2 linked regions of the Sus scrofa genome follow. The protein of the gene in region 1 interacts with the protein of each later gene in a pairwise test. Links are inferred from orthologs where the notes say so. Each region holds a gene or a part of one and is shown on either strand. Other genes may lie near its edges.

Region 1 (4,248 bases):
GATCCAAATACCATTCTTTCCCAATCCCACTGAAATTGCTGGCTCTCTCATGGGCGGGGCAGAGAGTGGTCTGGGGTGAGGGAGAATTCTGTCTAATCCTTCAAATCTTATCTGGTTTTACTCCCTCAGCTTTCATATGCCAGCCTTTAAACAAGCTCACTGACTTGAGTTTCCATAGCTGATAGGTGGCTAACCTTATCCAACTCTTACCCTATCCTTCTTGGTTTAAATAGTTTCTTGTGACCTGAAGAATTAAAGAAACAAAACCAACAAAACCAATCCGGAATATGATTGCCCTTTTTTCATGCATTCCAACCCTTTTGGATGGAAATTTTGGATACTGAGCTGGTAAATTGTGAGGTCAGAGAAACAATTTGTCAGTGCCAACAAGATGGCCTACAGACCTCCTTCTCACCTCCCCCTGCTGCTCCTTTGATTCCAATTTCTATTTCTTCCCTTAAAGTTTTCTCTGGGTGTGGTGTGGCTATGGGAGACACCCAGTCTTTTCCAATTGTATATTTTTGTAACGGCATTTCTATTTAAGGAGTTCATTAAATCACAGTATTTATACACACTGCTGGCATTGTTTCTTGTGTCTGAATAAAGGAACCTAGGTAAGATAGTGATGGTGTGACTCAAGAGAGGAAGATACAGACCGAATTACTGCTAAGGAAATAAGGGGATGGTTCAGGTGAAGCTCTGCAGAATTCATAGTTTGGGTTCTCCCTGTGGTGCTGATGTGGCAAAAACAGACCCAGACGTTGTTGTTGGGGCTGGGGTGTGCTCTGGGGGTTGAGACCAAAGCCTCTGGACTTCAGTGTTAACCACTCTTCAGCGCTGGTCACACACACTCCCATCTCTGAGCCTCTGGTTCCCGTCACCCCCAATGCAATACTGACTAGGCAAGCTCAACGTCACTCCAGCTCAGACATTCCGCAATCCCTTCCCTGAGGAAAAATGAAAGCCCAGGCCAGGACTATGGGGCCCCATCTGTCCAAAGGCTGCGGGCCGGGGTGGACAGCTGCCTCCACGCCTTGGGCAGAAGACCCTTCTCTGGGAATCAAAGGAGGCCACAAAATATACGAAAAATATTGTTCTCTTAGCTCCTGAATTGACATTTTTGGGAGCAGCGTGATCCTTTAACTTCAAGCACTGCCTTAGGGCGTTTGAGAGATTCCGATCCGCGTTCCCCGCCCTAACCTGTCAGAGCGGCACTTCAACACAAAACCAAAGACCGCGGAACACGGTAACACCAATCACTTCAAGTCTCAGCGGCTCCTAAAATGGCCGCGGCCGCTTCCGGCTCCTCCCCTGCATAGGCCCCGCCCACCGCCTCTACGTCCGCCTTCGCCCCGGAAGTGGAAGTAGTACTGCGGTCAGGAGGCGGTATCGCTGCCTGGAGACGGCGGGAGGTCTTTCGCCATGGCTGCTGGGCCGATCTCCGAGCGGAATCAGGGTGAGTGGAGGGCACAAGTCCGGGATGGGCCCAGGGGAGTTTGGGGGATCTCGGGTTACAGCCAGCAGTGTTTCCGCCAGGGCGGGAGATTGGAGCATCCCAAAAGGCGCTAGACCGGCCTGATGCCTGCTGGGGCGGGATGGACGGGTGCCCAGAGGCTGAGGCCTGTAGGTGTGATGTTGTCTATGTCCCATCCCCTGCTGCCTTCCCACTCACGCACACAAAAAATTACAAAGAGAATGTGCGCCAGAACTTTAAATTATATTTAAGAAGATTTTGTATTACCTGGAATGGAGGGCGGTGTAGGGGTATAAGCTAACGTCTTTTTTTTTTTTTTTTTTTTTTTTTCTTTTCTTTTTCTCTTTGCTCCAATACCCCATCTCCACCCGCAACTCCACCGCCTGGGTTCCGACTTCATGTTCCCGTCACCTCCTTATTTCCTCTCATCTCTGTCCTAACCTCCTAACCCTGTCCTCCAGATGCCACTGTGTACGTGGGGGGCCTCGATGAGAAAGTTAGCGAACCACTGCTGTGGGAACTGTTTCTCCAGGCAGGGCCAGTAGTCAACACCCACATGCCAAAGGATAGAGTCACTGGTCAGCATCAAGGTGAGTACATGGCAAGAAGTGCAGTTATTTTTCATTTAATTTATTTTTTGGTCTTTTTGTCATTTCTAGGGCCGCTCCCGCGGCATATGGAGGTTCCCAGGTTAGGGGTTGAATCGGAGCTGTAGCCACTGGCCTATGCCAGAGCCACAGCAAGGTGGGATCCGAGCGGCGTCTGCAACCTACACCACAGCTCACTGGCAACGCCGGATCCTTAACCCACTGAGCAAGGGCAGGGATCGAACCCACAACCTCATGGTTCCTAGTCGGATTCGCTAACCACTGAGCCACGACGGGAACTCCCAAGAAGTGCAGTTATGTTTTGAGGAAACAAACTGCTCCTGGAAGGTCCCGGCAGTATTCACAACTGTTTGGAATAAGCAAGCTAAAGTTTTCTTTCTCTTAAACTCAGTTTGTTTCTGGAACCATTCTCAGTTGAAGTAGGATTATTTTTTCTTGTTCTTTGTACTTTAGAAGGTGAGTTATACCTCATTTTGAATCGCTTCACTTAAGTTAACTCTTCTTTTCCATTTCCCTAGGCTATGGTTTCGTGGAGTTCTTAAGTGAGGAAGATGCTGACTATGCCATTAAGATCATGAACATGATCAAACTCTATGGGAAGCCGATACGGGTGAACAAGGCATCAGCTCACAACAAAAACCTGGATGTGGGAGCCAACATTTTCATTGGAAACCTGGACCCAGAAATTGATGAGAAGTTGCTTTATGATACTTTTAGCGCCTTTGGGGTCATCTTACAAACCCCCAAGATAATGCGGGACCCTGACACAGGCAACTCCAAAGGTTATGCCTTTATTAATTTTGCTTCATTTGATGCTTCGGATGCAGCAATTGAGGCCATGAATGGGCAGTACCTCTGTAACCGCCCAATCACTGTGTCCTATGCCTTCAAGAAGGACTCCAAGGGTGAGCGCCATGGCTCAGCAGCTGAACGACTTCTGGCAGCACAGAACCCACTCTCCCAGGCTGACCGCCCTCATCAGCTCTTTGCAGATGCCCCCCCTCCACCGTCTGCTCCAAATCCTGTGGTATCATCACTGGGGTCTGGGCTTCCTCCACCAGGTAGAGCTTTCTATTCAGAATATGTTTGTCTTAAATTGGGGGGAGGGCAGGAAGAAGGAAAAAGAACCTGGAAAGGAGGGGACATTGAGTCAGTAGGTGATGAGAAAGGGGTTGAGAGGTAATGGATGCAGTGAGAAGAACATTGTTGAATTGTTCTAGCATTTTTTTTTGTTTTTTGTCTTTTTGCCTTTTCTAGAGCCACTCCCATGGCATGTGGTGGTTCCCAGGCTAGGGGTCTAATCGGAGCTGTAGCCACCGGCCTACACCAGAGCCACAGCAACGTGGGATCTGAGCCACATCTTCGACCTACACCACAGCTCATGGCAACGCTAGATCCTTAACCCACTGAGCAAGGGCAGGGACCGAACCCGAAAGCTCATGGTTCCTAGTCAGATTTGTTAACCACTGCACCATGACAGGAACTCCTGTTCTAGAATTTTGAAGTTGTCTAAGTTGCTTCTGACTTTAGAGAGCTGGAAGGAGGGGAAAAGAACTCATCTTGCCTAGAGGCCAGATTGGAACAGGCCCCCTAAAGGTACTCTCTTCTCACTATCATGAACTCTTTTTCTATTTTCTCTACAGGCATGCCTCCTCCTGGCTCTTTCCCACCCCCAGTACCGCCTCCTGGAGCCCTTCCACCTGGGATACCCCCAGCCATGCCCCCACCACCTATGCCTCCTGGGGCTGGAGGACATGGCCCTCCATCAGCAGGAACCCCAGGGGCTGGACATCCTGCACATGGACACTCACATCCTCACCCATTCCCACCGGGTGGGATGCCCCATCCAGGTGGGTTTTCTTTGCTGGGAAGGAGAGGGATTCTTTCACCAGTTATGCTGCTGTTCTCTGTCCTTCAACAATAATAGAGAGTCCCTTTCTTTAGACATTCCTTTCTTCCAGACATTTTTTTTTTTTTGTCTTTTTGCTATTTCTTGGGCCGCTCCCGCGGCATATGGAGGTTCCCAGGCTAGGGGTCGAATCGGAGCTGTAGCCACCAGCCTACGCCAGAGCCACAGCAACGCGGGATCCGAGCCACGTCTGCAACCTACACCACAGCTCACGGCAACGCCAGATCGTTAACCCACTGAGCAAGGGCAGGGATTGA
Region 2 (3,811 bases), on another chromosome or scaffold:
AAGCCCTCATGTGACCTCCCTGTTCACATGGGGAAGCAGGGTCCCACTGAGACAGGTGGGCATGCTGGGCAGCTAGTCATTTTGCTTCCCTCCCAAGCAATACTTGCAAGACATGTTTTCAGCTGCTCATCATGCAATGGAAGAACCAAAATGGCAGACAATTGCTGGTATGGTCAGCCTCTTTGTTCTGGGTTGTTTTTTTTTTTTTCTTTTTAGGGCCTCATATGGAAGTTCTCAGGCTAGGGGTTGAATTGGAGCTATAGCTACCGGCCTACACCACAGTCACAGCAATGATGCCAGATCCCCAACTGACTGAGCGAGGTCAGGGTTGGAACCCACATCCTTGTGGATCCTAGTTGGATTCATTTCCCCTGAGCCACAACTCCCAGCCTCTTCATTTTGTCCCCAGCAATTCTGCTCTGGCCTCAAACTCACTTGCTCTCCTCAGTGAGAATGAAGCCATGCATGGACCTCAGTGCCTGAGTGCATTGGTACTGAGTCGAATATGACCCCTCCCCCACTTCAAACCCATGTCCACCCCACATCTCTGAGTGTGACCGTATTTGGAAGTAGGGTCTTTGCAGATGTAATCAGTTAAATTAAGATGAGGTCATACGGCTAAGGATGGGCCCTAATCCAAATGATTGGTGTCTTTCTTTCTTTCTTTTTTTCTTTTGGCCATACCCACAGCATGTGGCAGCTCCCAGGCCAGGGAGTGAACCTGTGTCCCAGCAGCGACCTGAGCCACTATGGTGACAAGGCTGGATCCTTAACCTGCTGTGCCACAAAGAAGCTCCCTAACTGGTGTCTTTCTAAGAGAAAACAGAGACATAGACACACACCCAAAGAAGACCACATGAAGACAGAGGCAGAGGTGGAGGCATGCCAGCAAAAAGCCAAGGACCTCCTGAGCCACCAGAAGCTAGGAGAGCAGCACAGAGCAGATTCCCCTCAGAGCCCCCAGAAAGAACCAACCCTGTCGACACCTTGATTTTTAGACTTCTGGCCCCCAGAACTGGCAGATTGTACGTTTCTGTTGTGTCAAGCCAGCATCCTCTTAGGAAAGCAGTTTAATGCCCAGGCCATTGGCTACTCCTGGAGCCAGCTTCTTAGACGTCCTGTCAGCACCTCACTCCGTTTTTCCAGACATTTTCTTCCAACCAGATGTGTTCTGGTAAACAATTCTCAGCGTCTTGCTTTATTTCCCCTCCTGAAGTGTTCGGGCTCTTTTCTCCCAGGGTGGCTGCCCGACGAAATCTCCCTTCTGGGAAGCTCAGAACTAGTTCTGCTGGAGCCTAAGCAGGCAGGTGCCGATCACGTGCTCCCTGGTACCTGTGTGTCCCTACTGTGTGCAAATCTCCCAGCTGGGACTCCAACACCCCCTTCACGTGTCTCATTAACCACAGCAGCCACCCCATCAGACGGGAGCCAGCTGTTTCAGGGCACCGGCCAGCCAACCACCCCCTGAAGGCGCTGACCTGGAGCAGCAACGCCAGGCTCAGCCCTGGCCCCCTCCCGTGGCAGTGAACCCCGGGGCCGGGCCGGAGGCGGGCACTCACCGGGTCCTTATTCTCTTGGTCTGTCCGTGTCTCCCGGAGGTCCCCGTTGTAGGTGGACGTCCGCTGGTCCTCGGCTGCGCTCCGCTGCTGCCATAGTATGGCCTCCCCCTCATACTCCTTCCTGTACAGGTTGGTCCTGTCGGACAGGCTGGCTCGACGCACCACCTTCCTGAGGGGAGAGGGCAGGTGCTGAGAGGCTGCATCCAGGCGCCACAGGCGGGAGCCTCAGGGGGCACCCGGGGTTGCCCTGCCTCTGACTCACCCGCGGCTGCCTGCGCTGGATGTCCTCCTGCTCAAGGATGACTTGTGCCTCAGCTGGGACTTCATGATCACGTCGTGCTTGTGTTTTAGCTCCAACAGCAGGACCTTGAACTCTTCCTCTTCGCACAGGTCTGAAGGGGCAGAGGAGACCGTTGTGGGGCGGGGAGACAGTACAGGGGCCTGTGTCCCCTGAGGGCCTTCCAGACCAGGGGAACTACCATCCCAACCCACCGAAAACTCCCAACATCTTTTGGGGCATGGGGGAGGGGAGAAAACAGTGACAGTCTCACTTCCTGGGCGATAACCCCACCCTGAGAAGAGTGTAAGAAGAGGAAAGCAGGGAATTCCCGTTGTGGCTCAGTGGTAATGAGTCCAACTAGGAACCATGAGGTTGCAGGTTTGATCCCTGCCCTTGCTCAGTGGGTTCAGGATCCGGTGTGGCTGTGAGCTGTGGTGTAGGTTGCAGACGCGGCTCGGATCCCAAGTTGCTGTGGCTCTGGCATAGGCTGGTGGCTACAGCTCCGATTCGACCCCTAGCTTGGGAACCCCCATATGCCACGGGAGCGGCCCAAGAAATGGAAAAAAGACAAAAAAAAAAAAAAAAAAAAGAAGAAGAAGAGGAAAGCAGGTCCCATGCAAAGTTCTATGAATGGTCCCAATTCCCAGCTGTGACTGAAAGATTCAGACACCTCTGACAGCTTCTAAAAGGAGTCATCAATTCTTCACTGACGCAAGAGGTATCAACAGACAGTCCATGTAGCCCAAAGAAGAAATGATGAAAAGATGCTGAGACTATATATCCCCACCCATTCAATCCACGTCATCCTTTAATTCATCCGTCTACCTATTCGTTGAACCAGTCATCCATCCATAGATTCATCCTCTACCCACCCATCCTCTTTTTTTTTTTTCTTTTTACAGCCACATGTGAGGCATGTGGAAGTTCCCAGGTTAGGGGCTGAATCAGAGCGGCAGCCGCCAGTCTACACCACAGCTGCAGCAACTTGGGATCTGAGCTGCATCTGCAACCTATGCTGCAGCTTGTGGCAATGCTGGACCCTTAACCCTCTAAGTGAGGCCAGGGATCAAACCTGCATCCTCATGGATACTAGTTGGGTTTTTAACCCGATGACCACAATGGGAACTCCCCCACCCATCCTCTTACTCATATTCATACATACATGCATTTATCCATTTACCCATCCATCCCTCCATTAATCTACCACCATTAATTTATTCACTCATCCATTTATCTATCCATATGCTAATTCACCAGCCCACCATCTATCCAACCATATATTCATTCCTTTATCCTCTACTCATCAAAAAGTTGATGAGTGCCTATGTATGTACCAGGTGTTGTGCTGACCTTACCTATTGGCATCTCATCCATGGATGTCCTAGCACTGAGACTGGCCCCATGGGACACCAATAGCTCTGCCATCTGCATCTGAAACACAGGAAAAAGAGGCCCAAGTTCCCCCCTGCCCACGGCTCAGAAAGCCTAGGAGGTGGAAAGAGTGTCCATAGCTTCTTAGAATGTGACCTAAAGAATGGTGGGGCAAAGCTGACTCCCAAGGAAGGATCCGCCCCATAAAGCCAGGAATCCAGGCAAATGCAAGGGGCCTGACCCCTCCTCCTCCAGTGTGCCTGGGCCATACGGAGGGACAGGAGGAGTCTGGCTATAACTCCAGAGCTGTCAAGTGTCTAAGGAGGAACGGTGAAGGCTACAATCAGAGATTTATATCTGAGAAACATACGGAGAAACTACTCAAGGCAGAAATGAGGGGAGTTTTCTAATTTGGCAAATTGGAATATCATCTTGTTAGGATGCAACTTTTGCAAATGCTTTAGGTCTTTTCATATCCCACACATTAGCCATAGTCAACACCTTCAATGAATCTTTTGCTCTTTTGAACCAACTTCCAGCCCAAAGGATAGCAGTTGACCCTGCGCTAGTCTCCCTGACAGCCCTGGGGTGACAACTACCT

The links.
Region 2: the proteins of SF3B4 (region 1) and PPP1R16B interact in binary tests that used the Homo sapiens proteins (3 or more experiments, as listed by UniProt). The two-hybrid records come from large-scale screens. The link is inferred for Sus scrofa from reciprocal best matches to the Homo sapiens genes SF3B4 and PPP1R16B.

Annotation. Positions count from the first base shown.
Region 1 is NC_010446.5:99,122,236-99,126,483, forward strand, and holds the start of SF3B4 (splicing factor 3B subunit 4), read left to right. Parts: upstream 1-1,328; 5' UTR 1,329-1,422; coding exon 1,423-1,456; intron 1,457-1,935; coding exon 1,936-2,064; intron 2,065-2,600; coding exon 2,601-3,143; intron 3,144-3,725; coding exon 3,726-3,932; intron 3,933-4,248. UniProt on the Homo sapiens protein: Component of the 17S U2 SnRNP complex of the spliceosome, a large ribonucleoprotein complex that removes introns from transcribed pre-mRNAs.
Region 2 is NC_010459.5:41,851,018-41,854,828, reverse strand, and holds part of PPP1R16B (protein phosphatase 1 regulatory inhibitor subunit 16B), read right to left. Parts: coding exon 3,810-3,811; intron 3,271-3,809; coding exon 3,195-3,270; intron 1,952-3,194; coding exon 1,822-1,951; intron 1,729-1,821; coding exon 1,560-1,728; intron 1-1,559. UniProt on the Homo sapiens protein: Regulator of protein phosphatase 1 (PP1) that acts as a positive regulator of pulmonary endothelial cell (EC) barrier function. Involved in the regulation of the PI3K/AKT signaling pathway, angiogenesis and endothelial cell proliferation.